2 linked regions of the Tamandua tetradactyla genome follow. The protein of the gene in region 1 interacts with the protein of each later gene in a biochemical or structural test. Links are inferred from orthologs where the notes say so. Each region holds a gene or a part of one and is shown on either strand. Other genes may lie near its edges. The genes, in order: DNMT1 and SETD7.

What was found.
Region 2: of the proteins of DNMT1 (region 1) and SETD7, one has a biochemical effect on the other in vitro, tested with the Homo sapiens proteins (2 studies listed by BioGRID and IntAct, with this or other methods). The link is inferred for Tamandua tetradactyla from reciprocal best matches to the Homo sapiens genes DNMT1 and SETD7.

The regions. Positions count from the first base shown.
Region 1 is NC_135337.1:91,552,875-91,560,763, forward strand, and holds the start of DNMT1 (DNA (cytosine-5)-methyltransferase 1), read left to right. Parts: upstream 1-4,539; 5' UTR 4,540-4,634; coding exon 4,635-4,714; intron 4,715-4,918; exon of another isoform or gene 4,919-5,206; coding exon of another isoform or gene 5,207-5,262; intron 5,263-7,889. UniProt on the Homo sapiens protein: Methylates CpG residues. Preferentially methylates hemimethylated DNA. Associates with DNA replication sites in S phase maintaining the methylation pattern in the newly synthesized strand, that is essential for epigenetic inheritance.
Region 2 is NC_135348.1:28,466,185-28,474,868, forward strand, and holds the start of SETD7 (histone-lysine N-methyltransferase SETD7), read left to right. Parts: upstream 1-5,107; 5' UTR 5,108-5,316; coding exon 5,317-5,356; intron 5,357-8,684. UniProt on the Homo sapiens protein: Histone methyltransferase that specifically monomethylates 'Lys-4' of histone H3. H3 'Lys-4' methylation represents a specific tag for epigenetic transcriptional activation.

The sequences.
Region 1 (7,889 bases):
TTCTAGAAGGTGGGAGGATGGGGATTGGGGGGGAGGGGACGCTCCTCCCCTGGAGGGTGATCCAGCCCCAGGGATTCTGGAGGATCCGTGGATCCCTCGGGTACCTTCCCTGCACCATCTCCCCTGTCTTGGTGCAAAGCAGGTGTGGGGGCTGGAGACAAACCGGGTTTGCCACCTGATCTGACTCTGGTCTCCGGCTTCCCTCTTTGTAGAAGGGAGCCCCATTCTTTGGGGGAAGAAAGCAGCTTTAGCACTTACTCATATTCAGTGTCTTCACTCTGCACCGGGCACCATTCATGTGCTACCCCCACCCCCCTGCATCCTATATGTTAACTCCACAGATACCTGCCTTCCCGCTGTGTGAGCCCTGGAGCCATTTAGCCAGGAACAAGGCAGATGAATCCTCTGGAGCTCATACTGTACGGCCCACAGGCACAACTTTATTTTATTTATTTTTGGGTGCATGGTCTGGGAATCGAATCTGGGCCTCCCACGTGGAAGGCAAGCATTCTACCACTGAAATTTTTTTTTTAATTTAAGAGAACAAACAATACGCTTTAGAGCCACCCAAAATGGATATCTTAGCTTAACCATAGGCATATTTAAATAAAGTATCCATGTAATCATTGTAAAACCTGTGTTTGCACAGTAAGTTTCATGAACTGATTTAAAATGAAGGCAACAGAGGAAAAAAATCTACAAATTCAGATAGCAAAGTTCTTATTTTCTGAATATTGAACACTAACTTAAATAGCATTTGATCAGCTGTCAAAACTGAATGCTCTCAAAATATCGAGTAGAAAGTTCTTACAAATATCTTCATTGCTATAGTCATGACCTATGTTACTAAACAATTTTCTCGATTTCAGGAAAATACGAAGATACAAATATTTTTACAATTAACATGAAAATCTTAACCACCTAAACTGGATATCTTAGTTAGCTTATTCATAAGCGTATTAAAAAAAAATCTAAGCAATCATAGTAAAGCCTGTTTGTACAATATGTTTCATAAGCCAATTTAAAATTAAAGCAAGCAAGGAAAAAAATCTGTGGATATTAGATTGCTATCTAGTTTCTTAAATTCTAAATATTAAACCCCCTATCTTAAATGCCATTTGATTAACTATCAAAGGGGTGCATCTTTTTGTTAATAAAAGTTTACTGCACTGCAGCCGTGGCTATGGTTTAGAACTGTCTATGGTGATTTTTTTAATTTTAATTTTTTATTTTCTCATTTAACTTTTTTATGGTGACTTTTGCGCTCTAAGGGCAGGAGCGAGACCATGTGGCCTGTGAAGCCAACTATTTTACTCTCTGGGCCTTTAAGGAAAAAGGTTGCTGACCCCTGCTCTAAGAGACCACAAGAGACAGTAAATAAGAGAATCTCTGATGATGATCAATGTGACGAAAAAAAGAGGGGAATGGAGCTGCTTTTGGGTGGCCAGAGGAGACCCTGGGTGGAGTTGGGTGGATCTCCCAGGAGACTGGTCTAGGAGGAGGGGGCAGCATAGGTTAAGCCTGTGATGCACGCAAGAGCTTGAAAGAGTAAAAGGGGGCCAAGTAAGCTGAGCTCAGTGAAGGGGGGAGGAGACCCTGTAAATGGAATAAAATACTTGGATTTCATTTCAAGGGCAATAGGAAGTTTTGGAAGATTTTACAGGAGAATGACATGTTCCAATTATTTTTATTCTTTTTTTAAAGCTCTCTGGTTGCACTGTGGAGAAGGGACTTTCCGGGACAGCTTGGAGCTGAGGAGGAAGCTGCTAGAATAGTCCAGGTAAATGAGGATGGCAGGCTGGGCTGGGGTGGCAGCAGAGGTGGTAAGGAGAAGGACTTGGGTTGCATTGCAGAGAAAAAACCAACAAGAGTAGCTCATTCTGTGAGGGCTGGCTTAGTTTGCTGGGGCTGCTGCGACAAATACAACACACTGGTTGGTTGGCTTAAAAACAGGGATTTATTGTCTCATGTTTTTTTTGAGGCTAGGAGTCCACAAACTGAAGTCTCGAGGCTGCACTTCTTCCTGGAGTCTGTAGTGTTCAGGTGGTAGCTTGCCACAATCCTTGGGGTTCCTTGGCATGCATTTCTGCCTCCGTCACATGGTCATCTGCTCATTTTCTGGCTTCCTCTGACTTCTGGCTTCTACTGACTGCCTACATCCAAATTGCCTCTGTTTGTAAGCCTCCAGTATATGGATTAAGACCACCCTGATTTAATTTGGCCTTAGCTGTGAAAAGGATGTTTGCAATTTGCAAATGAGTCCAAATCTTAACTAATAATACACCTTCAAAGGTCCTGTTTACAAAAAAAAACCAAACACATGGGGATGTGGATTGGGACTTGAACCTATCTTTTGTGGGGGAGGTGAGTGATTCAATCCCCAATGCACGGGGAGGAGAGAATTTAAAGATGGTGCCTGGCTTTTTGGCGTGAGCAGCTCGGGAGAAGACCACTGAGTTGGAAGTCGAGCTTTGACACGAACTTGCCATGGGCCCTTGGGCAAATCTTTTTTTTATGTCCCTGAGCCCTTGTCCCATCTGTAAAATGGGTCAAGTCATCCCTTCCTCACAAGGCTGGCAAAGGACCCAATAAATGCAGCTGTTCTCTCTGTCAAGTTGAGGCCCCTGAAATACAGGTCTGCTAGTCTGTTCCCCACCCGGCTTAGAGGCCTGGATGCTGGGTTCCAGCAGGACTGTGGGGCCTGAGCCTCACTCTGGCAACACTGTCTTCTACCTGCCATCCTGTCTGCCCTGCTACCTCCTTCATCTAGTTCTCCCAGTGCTGTCCTTTTAGCCTCCCAGGGGTCAGATGGCTGACCAACCCTGGGGTCACTGTTTTGCACTCAAGCTCTGGGTTCAGAGTTCCTTTTACTTACTGAATTTATGATCTTGGGTCCTCAGTTCTAGACCATGGGAAATGGGGTCCTAATATCTCCCTTTAGGGTTTGTTAAGGATTAAATTATATAACTCCTAATCAGTCTGGTATAGAATAGTACATAAATGCTGGTTACCTATAAAATTAATAACTATTAATTATACTCTTAGTATTATTATTCCGTCTTCTTGGATCTTGCCATGCATAGAATCTATAGCAACCAGAGGGCTTGAGGTCCACTTCTGGCCAGGCACGCTTCTCCTTCCCAGCTGCTAGGGTGCCTACAGTGTGTGTGCGCACGCGCGCGCGCATGTGTGCACACAAACACATTCACTTGTTAAATACCAAGAAAATGAAAAATTATACCACAATTTTAAAATTTTTTTATTAATGAAACCAATCAACATACACATGAACCTATTCTTAATGTATGAACATTCCATACTTGGTGTGCAATCAATGGCTCACAATATCATCACGGTTGTATATTCATCACCATGATCATTTCTCAGAACATTTACATCACTCCAGAAAAAGAAATAAAAAGTAAAAAGAAAAAACTCATATATACCATACCCCTTATCTCTCCCTTTTATTGACCACTAGTATTTCCCTCTACCTAATTTATTTTAACATTTGTTTCCCCCTATTTATTTATTTTTAATCCATATGTTTTACTCATCTGTCCATACGTATATAAAAGGAGCATCAGAACAAGGTTTTCACAATCACACAGTCTCTTTGCAAAAGCTATTATCACTGTGCAATCATCTTAAGAAACATGGCTACTGGAACACAGCTCTACAGTTTCAGGCACTTCTCTCTAGCTTCTCAGACACACCTTAATCTAAAAAGGTGATATCTATATAATGTGTAAGAATAACCTCCAGGATAACCTCTGGACTCTGTTTGGAATCTCTTAGCCATTGACACTTCATTTTGTCTCATTTCGCGCTCCCCCCTTTCAGTCCAGAAGGTTTTCTCAATCCCTTGGTGCCGAGTCCCAGCTCATTCTAGGATTTCTATCCCACATTCCCAGGAAGGTCCACACCCCTGGGAGTCATGTCCCACGTAGAGAGGGGGAGGGCAGTGAGTTTGCTTGTGTGTTGGCTGAGAGAGAGAGAGAGAGAGAGACAGACAGACCACATCTGAGCAATAGAAGAGTATACCAGAATTGTTAAGTTGACTTGGTTCTTTTTTAAAAAACAGGCTGTGGACGTGATCTCGCCCTCCCAGCACTACCAGGGTCCTTGGCGCCAGCTACATGTTCTGTGTATCCTACAGATTTTCTGGAGTAGGTGCTATTTAGCCCCGTTTTACAGGTGAGGAAACAGACTCAGTCCAAGTGACCCACCGCTCAAGGTCGCCTAGTGAGGAAAGAGATGGGGTTGAAAGCGAGGACTTTAACTCAAGGGCCTGCACGCTGGCTCGTAACCCCCTGAGGCTGCTCGCTACTTTATCCTCAGAAAGCCCGAAAGAATGAATGAATGAAAGTCTTGGGTAGGGCGCTCCCACCCGTTGCCAACGACGGAGCTTGGGCAGGCCCACTGCCCCGTGTAGGGGTGCGCGCCCGTCTCGCACATGCGCGGTGCCTGTGCACGGCTTTTCCGCCCGTACGTGGTACGGCCTCTCCGTATGGTACGTCCCGCTTTCCCCCTTGGGCAGGCCGGGGTGGTACACGCCGTCTCCCCTCGCCGCCCCTCCCAGTCGGTTTCCGCGCGAAAAGCCGGGGCCACCCGCCCGCGCTGCAGCCTCCGAGATGCCCGCCCGAACCGCCCCGGCTCGTGTGCCCACGCTGGCCTCCCCGGCCGTCTCACTGCCCGATGATGTCCGCAGGCGGTAAGTGTCGTGGGAGACTGCGTCCTCGGGGGCGGCCGGGGTGGGAGAGGTACGGCGCTGGAGGGGGGGTCGCTTCCCCTCGGGCCGGCTCGCGGCCGCCGCTGACAGGCGGACGCGCATGCGCGGGATGGCGCGGCGGGCGGCGGTTGGCGCGGTCAGGGTGGTACTTCCGGTCGCGCGTGCCCCTGGCCATTTGGCGCCAAAATGGGCTGTGGCCCCTCACGGCGCGCTGGCGGCTAGAAACGTGGGGTCTCTTTAGACATCCCCCCCCGCCCCGCAAAACGGAGCAAAACTGGGGGCTCACCTCGGGGGGTCTCCTTTTGCTGAGCAGCGGTGTTAGGCAGGGAGCGGCCCCCCCAGACCTCTGGACGCCCCTCAGCCCCGGCACTCTGGCCTCCACTTCCGGTGCCCAGTTGGGCCGGGGTCCGGCCGACCCGGTTCTCCGTGATTCGCACTGGGGAGACCCTTCGATTCCCCGCGCTGTGCATCCGGATGGCGGCCTCCAGAGACCGACGTCGCCGGTCGAGGCCCGGGCGAGGCCGGCTTAGGTTCGCGAGCCCGAGCCTTTCATGGGGGCTCTGTTCATTCCCTCGGGCTGTGCGGGTGTCGTCCGCCTCCTACCCGGCAGCGCAGGACCGGGACCGCGGAGCAGCTGGATAACGCGGACTGGTCCTTTCTAGGAAATCTGCTTGCCTGGGAGCCCTGGGCATCCAGGAAGCCTCGCTAAGCCAGAGGTGGCTGCAGTTTGCAGGGTGGCATCTAAAACAGGCCCCTTCCTGCCTGAGTTGGGTCCCCGGTGGACAGGGGTCGGTGGAAAGAGCATTTGGCCTCAGCCTCTTGTTTGTGGAGGGCATATCAAATTCACTCTTGGGAACCCCATTCCCGGGGCTGAAGGCTTCCACGCCAGATTTGTGAACCCAGCTTTGCCATTTCTCCTTTTCCCTGTGCTTATTTCCCACCCCATCCCCCAAGTCTAGTCCGTATTGTGGGGCCAGACCAATTCTGATTGGGGCTTTTGGAGGTGAGAGGTGTGTGTGTGTATGTGTTTAGGGGCCCTGGGGCTTCTGTACCAGTCATTTAAAGCTCAGCCCACTTTTTAACCACGGTTAGAGGGGATTTGTCTTGTCTGTTGCAGGAAATCAGGCTTCCCATCCTTCCCCAAGATATCCTGTTACTTAAAATGGAAATGAAATGATGAAAGTATCTACCTTCACAATGTGAGACCCACTAAATGAAATTTGGGCCCTGCCTTATTTTCCTTGATGATAACCCTCTCTCCACTGGCTTGCCTGTGACCTTGGGCAAATGTATGCTGCCTCTGCATCTGTAGAGTAGAATTAATAGTGTCGGCTTTAAGTGACATTATCGGTGCATAAAGGCATTAACATTGTTTTCACCTAATTTGCCTTACTTTTTTCAGTTCTGCTAATCAGTTACAAATTTCATGAAGTACTTTACTTTATCTCATTTAATCCTCAAGATCTTAAAAGCGGGTTTCTCAGGAATTTGCTATTAAGAAGCAGAGATTTGTGCTTAAGTCTGCAACTTGCCATAGCCTTTTTCCTTTGCCAAGTGGTTGCCAATGGCCCACTGACTCAGGGGGCTCTGTGGCCTGGTTGAGTGCTTTGTTTGAAATAAAACACCTATGGATGAGTCTAAACACTCACCAGTGCACCCCAGGTTCCATATAACTTTGGACTAGAATTGCCGCCTCTTGGTATGAAGTGATGACACCCACATTAGATCAAGTGATAGTCACTGAAATTATTAGCTTATGTGAACTTCTTAACAGCTTTTTGTTTACATTTTGAAGTATCTCACGGTACAAAAAAATAGACACATAAACATGACATTCAACAGTCCCTTAAACTTAGATTTTGTAAATGAATGTAAATTTTTTTTTTTTTTTGCATGGGCAGGCACTGGGAATGGAACCCGGGTCTCAGGCATAGCAGGCGAGAATTCTGCCACTGAGCCACTGTCACACTGCCCTCAAAGTACATTTTAACAAGCAGTTATAGAACAGATTTCAGGGTTTGTTATGGGTTACTATTCTACTATTTCAGATTTTACCTTCTAGCTGCTCCGAAACACTAGAGGCCAAAAGAAATATCAGTATTGTGATTCAGCAGTTATACTCATTTGTTAAATCCTTTTTTTTTGGTTATAACTCCTCCTTCTCCTTTGATCCTTCTCCCAGTCTATAGGGATGTTTGGGCTATGCCCATTCTGACTTTTTCATGTTGATTAGGGCTGTTAACAATAAGGGATAGGGGGTTGTAATTAGTTGATAATCTTGGAGAGGCTAGTGCCTCTGGGTTTCAGGACTTATCTGGCCCAAGAACCCTCTGAAAGTTATAGGTTTCGGGAAAATGAAGTTAGTGCATGAAACTTTTATAGTGTCTCAGAGTCCTAGGTGTTCTTAAGAGTTAACAGTAATGATGTTGGTTGGGGTTGGCAAACCATAGGAATTAGCAGTGTTTAGCTGAAGTTTGCATAAGAGTAGCCTCCAGAGTAGCTTCTGGACTCTGTTTGATCTCTCAGCCGCTGATACCTTATTTGTTATACTTCTTTTCCCCCTTTTGGTCAGGAAGGTATTGTCCATCTCACGGTGTGAGAGCAGACTCATCCCTAGGGGTCAGGCAGCTTCCTTTTTAAACTCCTTTTTAACTTCCTTTTTTAACTTGTAGTTCCATTAGATATCTAATGATACTAGAAAGTATTTCCAATATTTGTATTTCTAAACTTTTTGAAGTATAATATACCCAAGTCTTCTAAAATCATGCCTTTCAGGGCAAGCCACATTTTTCCCTGTGATTTTTCTTACTCTGCTCAAGCCACCATCACTTGTACCGAAATAGTGATAGTTTCCCACTTGTCTTCCTGAGTCAGATCTGTTTTCTAGAGTGGAAACTGTAGTCCTTAAAACCTAGGTTAGATCCAGTGGTTTTCCTGCCCCCCCCCGCCCCCCCATTGCGCACATGGTGTGAAGTCCAGAATCACCGTCTGCTTGCCTGCCTCATCCTGCGCTCTCTTCCCCAGCCACACAGGCCAGGCCACCTTTTAGCTTCTCAGCCTCTGACCCTGGCACAGGGAACGCCATGAGGCTGGCCTCCGCCTATCCCTTTCCCTCCCTCCGAAGGGTGTGGGATTCTGTCAGCATACCCAGCATGCT
Region 2 (8,684 bases), on another chromosome or scaffold:
GAGAAAGCCACAGCAGAGCCAAGGAGAGCCACAAGGCCAAGAGAACCACAGAGCCCACCAGCCAGTGACCTTTGGAGATTCTGAGATAGCAGAGAACGCCTCAGAACCACGAAGCAGAGAGTCCACCAGCCAGTGACCTTTTGAGAACGAGGAGAGAGGTGCAAAACAACGAAAGAAGGACAAGAGAACCACAGAGCCCACCAGCCAGCAACCTTTGGAGATGAAGAAGGAAAACGCCTCCCGGCGAGCTTCATGAAACGAGAAGCCTGGAGAGAAAACTAGCAGACACCGCCATGTTCACCATGTGCCTTTCCAGCTGAGAGAGAAATGCTGAATGTCATCGGCATCCTTGAACCAAGGTATCTTTCCCTGGATGCCTTAGATCGGACATTTCTCTAGACTTGTTTTCACTGGGACATTTTCTTGGCCTTAGAACTGTAAACTCGCAGCTTATTAAATTCCCCTTTTGCAAAGCCATTCTGTTTCTGGTATGTCACATTCTGGCAGCTAGCCAACTAGAACATCCTCAATCTTGAGGTTCACCCCTATGAAACTCATCCCTACAAAGGACAGGCTAAGTCTACTTAAACTAAGCCTAAGAGTCACCCCCAGAGAACTTCTTTTGTTGCTCAGATGTGACCTCTTTCTTCAAGCTGACATGGCAAGTGAACTCACTGCCCTCCCCCCACCCCTACATGGGACATGACTCCCAGGGGTGTAACTCTCCCTGGCAATGTGGGACAGAAATCCCAGGATGAGCCAGAACCTGGCATCAAGGGATTGAGAAAACCTTCTTGACCAAAAGGGAAAAGAGAAAAATGAGAAGAAATAAAAGTGTCAGTGGCTGAGAGATTGCAAACAGAATCAAGAGGTTATTCTTATGCATTATATAAATATCCCTTTTTAGTTTATGGCATATTAGAGTGGCTAGAGGGAAGTACTAGAGGGAAGTACCTGAAACTGTTGCGCTGTTTTCCAGTAGCCTTGTTTCTTGAAGACGATTGTATTGTGATAAAGCTTTTACAATGTGACTGTGTGATTCTGAAAACCTTGTGCCTGATGTTCCTTTTACCTAGGGTATGGACAGATGAGTTAAAAATACGGATAAAAATAAACAAACAATACTGGGAACAAAGGTTAAAATAAATTGGGTAGATGGAAATACTAGTAGTCAATAAGAGGGAAGAGTAAGAGGTATGGTATGTATGAGTTTTTTCTTTTTTCTGTTTTATTTCTTTTTCTGGACTGATGCAAATGCTCTAAAAATTGGTCATGGTGAAGAATACGCAACTATGTGATGATATTGTGAGCCACTGATTGTACACCATGTTTGGAAAACAAGCAACGTTGGCATGTTAAGATCTATCAGTAAAAATATTTTTTTAAAAAACTGAGATGATCCAGTTTGCCAGAGTTGCCCTGGAGTCTTCCCCTTTCCTCTGTCTATACATGGACCCTGGGGCTCTTCATGCTCCATTTAGCTTTTCCCCAGGAAAGGTGGACAGAGAAAGTTTGGGCTTAGAAAGTATGTAGCCCAACCTCGTCATTTACAGATGGGAAAACTAAGGCCTAGAGAGCTTAACTGCCCAATGCACAGCTAGTGTTTGGTGGAACCCAAACAGATAAGGTGAAAACTCAAACTGGTGAATTTGGGGAATGGGGAGAAGCTGGCTAAGAAGTGAGCAGTGCCAAAATAAGAATTGATGCTTATTTAAAAGTTCCTTCATCCATTTTGCCTCGTCTCCTTAATGGAGATGTGAGCAAACGGAACAAACCAAAACCTGAACACCAGCCGCTGATCTACCAGTTACCTGGGGGGGGGAGCCCCCCGAGACTCCCTTTGGCTGAGCCCCTGGCGAGTACTTCCTCCTGGAAACACGAAACCCGGAAGTCTGCCCGGCCCCCTCCCGCCCCTACCAGTAGTGCAGAATGAGGGGTCAGTAGCAGCCAACACTAACGGAGAAGTTCTACACCCACCAGGTTTCTGCAATGTACTTAATATACACAGCGATAAGCTGACAGAATTGTTTCCCCTAAACGTAGGAAGGCGCATATCCAGCCTGTAAAAACATATTTACCACAAGAGTTATATCAGTCTTGTAAGTAAGCACCAGCCTTCTCCAGGGAAAGACAAGGGTGGTAAAATGAATGAAATCAACTTAGTATTTTGACTGCTTGCTGTGGGCGAAGGGGGACTTACGTTTCCCAAATAGAGTGTGAAGAGAGGGGACACATCTTTCGATGCAGGGACGCTAAGCCGAGGCAGCTTGGAAAAGTCACTGCTCGGTGTGTGCATGGAGGCACGCCCACCCCCAGGAGTTCCTGGACGTCCTGTGCAGGTGCCTTTTCTCCCTGGCAGGGCCTGTTCTGGCACACTGGGATATGCCGGGGTTAGGGGCTGAGCCACCGCTGCGGCCACCGCTGCGCCACTGCCGTACATTGCTGCTGATTAAGAGTTTTATTGATTTTCCAGCCCATGACCACACTGGTGGGGACAGACGATGACAGAGGGAAATGGTGGGAAGCCAAGTGGAAAGAGGGTTTATGAAATGAGCTGTCAATGAAGAAAACTGTGGGAAAGAATGTGATGGAAGCCAATCTGGGGCCAGTCGATGTGGGAAAGTAGAACAACTCAGAAATGTTCCTCAGGCTTGAGCTGAAACAAAGCGCTCTGCCAAAACACAGGAAGAGAAACCGGTCTGTGAGAAAGATTCAGCTCTGTTTATATAAAACAGAATATTCCTATCTGCTGAATCCTCACTGACAGTGCTTAACTCTCTCTCTGTACCAGGCACTGGATTGGGTTCTGGAGCTATAAATAAGACTCAGTCTAGAGAGAGAGATTGAAAATGCAGACGCAAAGTGATTTGTAAAAATGCAAGTGTGTCTTAAGGAAGTCATGAAAACATTGTGCCTAAGCTTTGGGCAGGGAGCCAGCAGGAAGGAATGGTGAGGGAAGTAATTCTTGCCATGGCCCACTCTCCCAGGAAGACCTCAATCCCCGTCTCCCTCTGCAGATCCAGCGGTGGCCTGCTTCAGCCAGGAGGGCCATATACAGGTGTTTCCAAAGCGGTAAGTAAAAGGGAACACTTGGCCAATCGAACACACAGTACCTGCTGGGAAAACCTCACAGCACCTAGGAGGGGTTGCACAACTTGCCTCTGAACCTAAATATGGAGGCAGGATGCTTGTGACATAATAATCGCTCCACGCCGACCCCACCATGGGCCGGATGCTCTGTGGTGCAACTGCGTGTTTGGAGGGAGATTTCTTCCAACCTACCGTCCCCTTGCCTTGGCCTCCTTGAAGAAAGGAATTCTTTTTGCTGCTTCCTTTAGCTTTTGGCATCTTCTTTGCCCCTGAAAATAAACTGGAAACTTAGGGAGAAAGACGAGCGTCTGCTGGGTTTTTGCACACAAGTGTAATACATAAGGGAGAGGTGATAAATACACGCGGAACTTCAGACAGTGTCGCCTAATGCAGAGGGCTTCAGAGCCGTCTAGCTAAAACCAGCCAATCTCAGATTAGTCTAACCTAAGCCAAAGGACCTCAGAGTGGTATACCCTAAGCTGGAGGGAGCTCACGGGGGTGGGGGGGGGTGGGGGGGGTGGACGCTAAGCCTCTTACTTCCTGCGGGAGGAATTCAGGCTGGCAAGGGTGGACCCCCTGGTCCAGGGCCCTTCCCTGTCTTTCTAACACAGCCAAAAGGGACTGAAATGCCTAGCCGTGCATGGGGACAAAAGTCCTCGGCATTATTCCCTTTTTCACAGAGAAAAGAATGAATTCAAACAAAACAAAAATACGCAATACTCCATTTAAAAAAACAGAACAAACAAAACTGTGATTTAAGCAGAGAGCTAAAAGCAAGGCGTGGTCTTCCACGTGCTGGAAGTATTTTGAAATCCCCAAAGTCTCACTCATCCTCCAGAAAACAAAATGGAACTTTCTTTCTTTGCTCTCCCACCTCCCTCCCTGCGCCCCTGCGGTAGCTGTGCTGGCAGATGCCCAGAGCTGCACGCTGGGATTCCACGGTACACTGCGTACATTTGCACCCATTTAACCAGCTATTTACGGCCGCCCTTTACCGCCACCTTTCCAAGACAGCGCCATAATGACATTGTCGTTATGAAGCGGGTGCCCACTGGTCTTCTCCATTGAAGACGCCCCAGCCTGCGGGGTGGTTGACACTTGGGAGAGACAGTTGGGGCCATCACCCGTACCGCGAGGGCCACGAGGGGGGCGGGCGCGGGAGCCGGAGGGTCCTTCCTCGTTAGCTCCGCCGGGCGGTCCATCTTCCATCCCCACCGCGGCGGGGAGGCACCTGCCCGCGCGGCGGCTTGTTTCCTGCCTGGAAGAGACCCCACTGCCCTTTGGGTTGGACGCGCCTCCGAATCATCCGAGGCGCTCGGGGGTCCCGAGGAGGGCGGGGCCTGGCCGGGATGGGGTGGTCCCCGCAGGCCGGCGGAGTCGCTCCGGATGGCACCCGCTCCAGTCTGGGGAGCAGTGTCGTGGGACACCTGCCCTGCCGAGCGTGCAGCCCTCGCGCGGCTCCGAGGGCAAATGGGGTGAAGTGGGGGGAGAGGGCGAGAGGAAGTCGAGGCGCCAGAGCGTCCGAAACGCTTCCTTTGTTTCCCCTGCGTTTCGGAGGCTGTCCCGAGGTGGGGGGCGGCGGGCACCCCTTGCACGGCCAACTTCCAACCTGGCCCCCTGCTCCGGCTGGGGGTCCGGAGCTCTAAGCGCCCCCGAGGGCGGGGACCCGGAGGGCCGCACGTGCAGGGGAGAAGCCCGCGGCGCCCAGGACCGCGTGGCGCGCTCGGAGCTCGCCAAGTCGCGCAGAAGCCAAAGGCAGACGCCGAGGGGCCCGGGGCTCGGCCCGGCGGCGCAGGGGGAGCGGCCCGCGAGCGCCTCGGGTCTCCAGGAGCCTTACTTCTGGGAAGGGACCGGGAACCGTCAATCAGCGAGGGAGGGAGCGCACCGGCGCGAGGTGATGTCAGCGGATCAGCTGCTCGCTAACAAAGAGGGGGGATCGCAGGAGAAAGTTGCAGCAGCGGCAGCGGCCGCAGCGGCACCCCGGGGCCTCGAGGGCGAGGGGCCAGCGGGCGAAGGGAGGGGGGACGGTTGCTGCCGCAGCAGCTGAAGGCCAAGAAATTGAAAGGGCTGTAGGGGGAGGGAGTGCCAGCCAGCCCGACTGCTCCTCCTCTTCCTCCTCCTCCAAACTCGCAGGGCTCGGCCCCAGCGCTCGCTCAGCCGCCGGGAGCACCGGGAGGGACGGGCGGCAGCCGCGCGACCCCGAGCTGGCCAGGGTCCCCAGTCGCCATGGATAGCGACGACGAGATGGTGGAGGAGGCGGTGGAAGGTACAAGCCTTTCTCCGAGGCTGGGGAACACGCAGCGGGAGGAGTGACGGGCTGCGGCCGGCGCGGCACCGGGCCCCGCGGCTGCCGCGGTTCGCTCGGCGGGTGGCCCGCTGCCCGGCTCGGGCGGGGGCCGGACAGCCACGGCCGAGCCGCCGGGAGCGCGCGCTGCGCGGCGGGGCGCGGCAGGCGCAGGCCGGGCCCGGGACTCGGCCGGGCCGGGGCCCCCCTGGGAGGGCACGGCTGCTCCCTCCCGCCCGGCGGCCGCAGCCTGCAGTCGCCTCGGAGTTGCGAAAACCTGCCGAGCGCTCTCCCCTGGCTTCCTCCTTTCGCGTCTGGGGGGCGGGAGGGGGGGCGTTGAGGGTGCGCAGGAAGGGCCCCCCAAGAGCGGTGGTCCCCGCCGAGCAATCCCACTGCCCCGTTTAGGACGGCGGCGAGCCTCGCAGGTGGCCAGCCCTTTCCTTCCGCTCGCCCCCACGCCCCGCAGCGGCCGCGGCCGGGTCGGGTCCCCTGGCGCAGCGCACTGGGTCGGGCCAGGCACGTGGCAGCCCCGGCCAGGGCGGGCGCTCCTCGGGGAAGATGAAATCATCGCAAGGCAAGGGACGGCGGGCCCGACCCGGGGCTCGATCGCGCGCGGGCCGGGAGGCGACCGGCCCTTCCCCTCTGCTGCCCCGAGCGCGAACCCGGGCCAGCCGCCCCTCCCCCGCCTGCTTCCCAACCCCGGGCGGCCGCGCCGTGCAGGCGCGTCTCAAGCCCAGACCGAAATTGCTGGGTGACACTTAACTTTCTGAATTCCATGCAGTTGGCTGTGTGTGATATCACTGCCTCGGTGTCGTGTTTCTCCGCCCCTTCCCTTCCTGCGCCCCTCCCCCGACTTTTCTCGCCACTTTGTTTTGCTGAGTTTCTCCACCTCTTTTTGGCCGGTTCTGAAATCCTTGTGGAACGTTATACAATCTCGTTGTTTGTGTCGTGAGCTGTTAGGATTTTGTAACAGCGAATATTGGAAAATACTCTTTAGCCTATTTATTTGGTTCTACCCCAGACAGGACGTCGTGATGTTTTGCAATGTTGTGTGGTATTATTCCAGAATATTTTAAACTAGGCGTCTAAGCAAATAATTTTTAGCTATCGGCTGTATCTGGCTTCTGTCTAATCTGTGTAAACAAGTAAAGAAAAACAAACAGTAAAGAAAAACAAAGTGGCGACATTGTGCTAATACACACGAGTACATAGTTGTTTCCTCATTGAGAGTAAATCGATTTTTATGTTTTTATATAAGATAATTGAACTCCTTTTGCAGTGTTTCCTAGGTCTTAGGATGAAATTAAGTAGAATAATATTTCTGAATTCTCTAAAAGATGTCATTCTAATGTAACTATTAAAATTTCTTACTTCATCTAGCTTCCAGGACAACTTAAAGAATTTTTTAATTAAAAAGATTCACAATGCTGTGAATCCACAGAGCTATTTACCTCTCTAATAAATAAAGTGAATGTGGGCGTTTATTGGGTGGCAGAGACATTGAATTGACCCATAGGAAGCCTTATTAGAATCTAAAAGTTATTGGCTTCTTGTGCCTCCCTGATAGGAAAGAAAAATGAAAAAGGCTCTTCTCAAGTTGTAAGGGTTTGCTGTCCTTGGAAGTTTAATTTTACTTGTGAAAATGTAATGTAAACCCTTGGGCACTGGAGATGCTCCCCAGGCTAAACCATCTTCCCCTTTGAAGCTGTTTAGAAACAAAGTCAAGTTGTCCCAGGGTCCTCTGCCTCATTTGCAGAATGTAATCTTAGAAATGTAGCCTTAGAAATGTAGCATTGTTGTTGCTGAGATTGTCCAGTGGATTGGAAGGTTCTTACTAGTTACATAGAGGGACCATATATATAATTGTCCAAATTAGAACATTCAAAAAAAAAAAGAAATTAAAAAACAAACAAAAACAAATTGAGAATGAGAGAGGCGCTATGAATGATTATGCTGGGACAACGAGGTAGAGCTTGAATGTGGGGGCAGTCTGGGACACGTGGTCACTCAGCTGTGCCTCCCTGTAATAATATAATGACAAGTGTAACACAGAGTCTTTGAGAGTCCTTGGGAGACCCTCAAGCTCCAGCATGCAGTAAACTGTACCCCCCAACTTTTTCTCCAGCCACTCTTGGGCTTTTTACTGCTGGGTATAATGCACTTTACTTCTCACCAACTGACACGTGCATGGGGGAATGTTGTAAACTACTTGTTCCTTTTTCCTAAAGAGAACCTAGTCTGAAGATGTTGCTGTGTAAGTACCACGTAGCCTACCTCTCTCCGTGAACAGAACCTCTGTTCTCAGTAGAGAACATACTAAACAGAATCTCTGTTCATTGTCGTAGCTATTATTATCAATAAAATAATTATATTATTGTTTAGTTCTTATGATGTGCAGTCTCAGTGTGGTTTCACACATTTTCTGTCCGGTTACTATTATGAGATGGGCACTAATAGGATCCTAATTTTACAGAGAGGGAACCAGACCATAGAGAAGTTAAGAACTAATCCAAGGGCACTCAGCTAGGAGACAAGACAAGCTTGGAGCTTCCAGAATTTCATTGCACCATACCAGTTGTCTCTCTACATTATAAAAATTTTAATGGGCGAGTCAAGTATATGAAAGAGATGGTACCTGAGTTTGGAAGAGCAGTTAAATATTACACCAGTTTCATTATCACTGTAACTCTTTAGAGGTTGGTTATGATAGAGTTCCGTGAGAAAAGATTTGAATAAACACAGTTTTAGTACGAAAGTATTAATTTTTGTTTGTTTATTTACAACCTGTCATTCATCTGTTTCAACTCTCTTCTCAGTGTTTTTCCTTTGGATTAATATGAATCAGAAGATTATATTTGGAGAATAGGAATTTAACTTATAGACTGCAATAGACATCCTTTTCCTTCTTATCCTTCCCTATTAAAGGAAAATTTCCTTGTCATCTACTCTGGGCAAGAAATTGGTGTCTTCAGGACTTGAGTTTAAATGTCTTGTGCCACATGGTATCCATTGTGGTTCTCTGCCAGGTGGAATTATAGCTCAGGGAAGTTCTGCAGTGAGCATGGATGAGTTCTGGAAGGGAGGGTCAGTTGGGGAGTGATACTTAGTTTTCCAGCGTTACTCTCTGGGCCTTTGTGAACAGAAATATTTATTACTATATTTCTTTGTCTTTCCATAGATACAAAGTTGAATATGATATGGTCCCTCATATAATTTCAAAGAAATATATCATATCTATAAGAATGATTTGTGGTGGTTGAGAGGAAATAAAAATGACTTCCAGCTTGGAGAAGTAGATGAGGAAAGATTT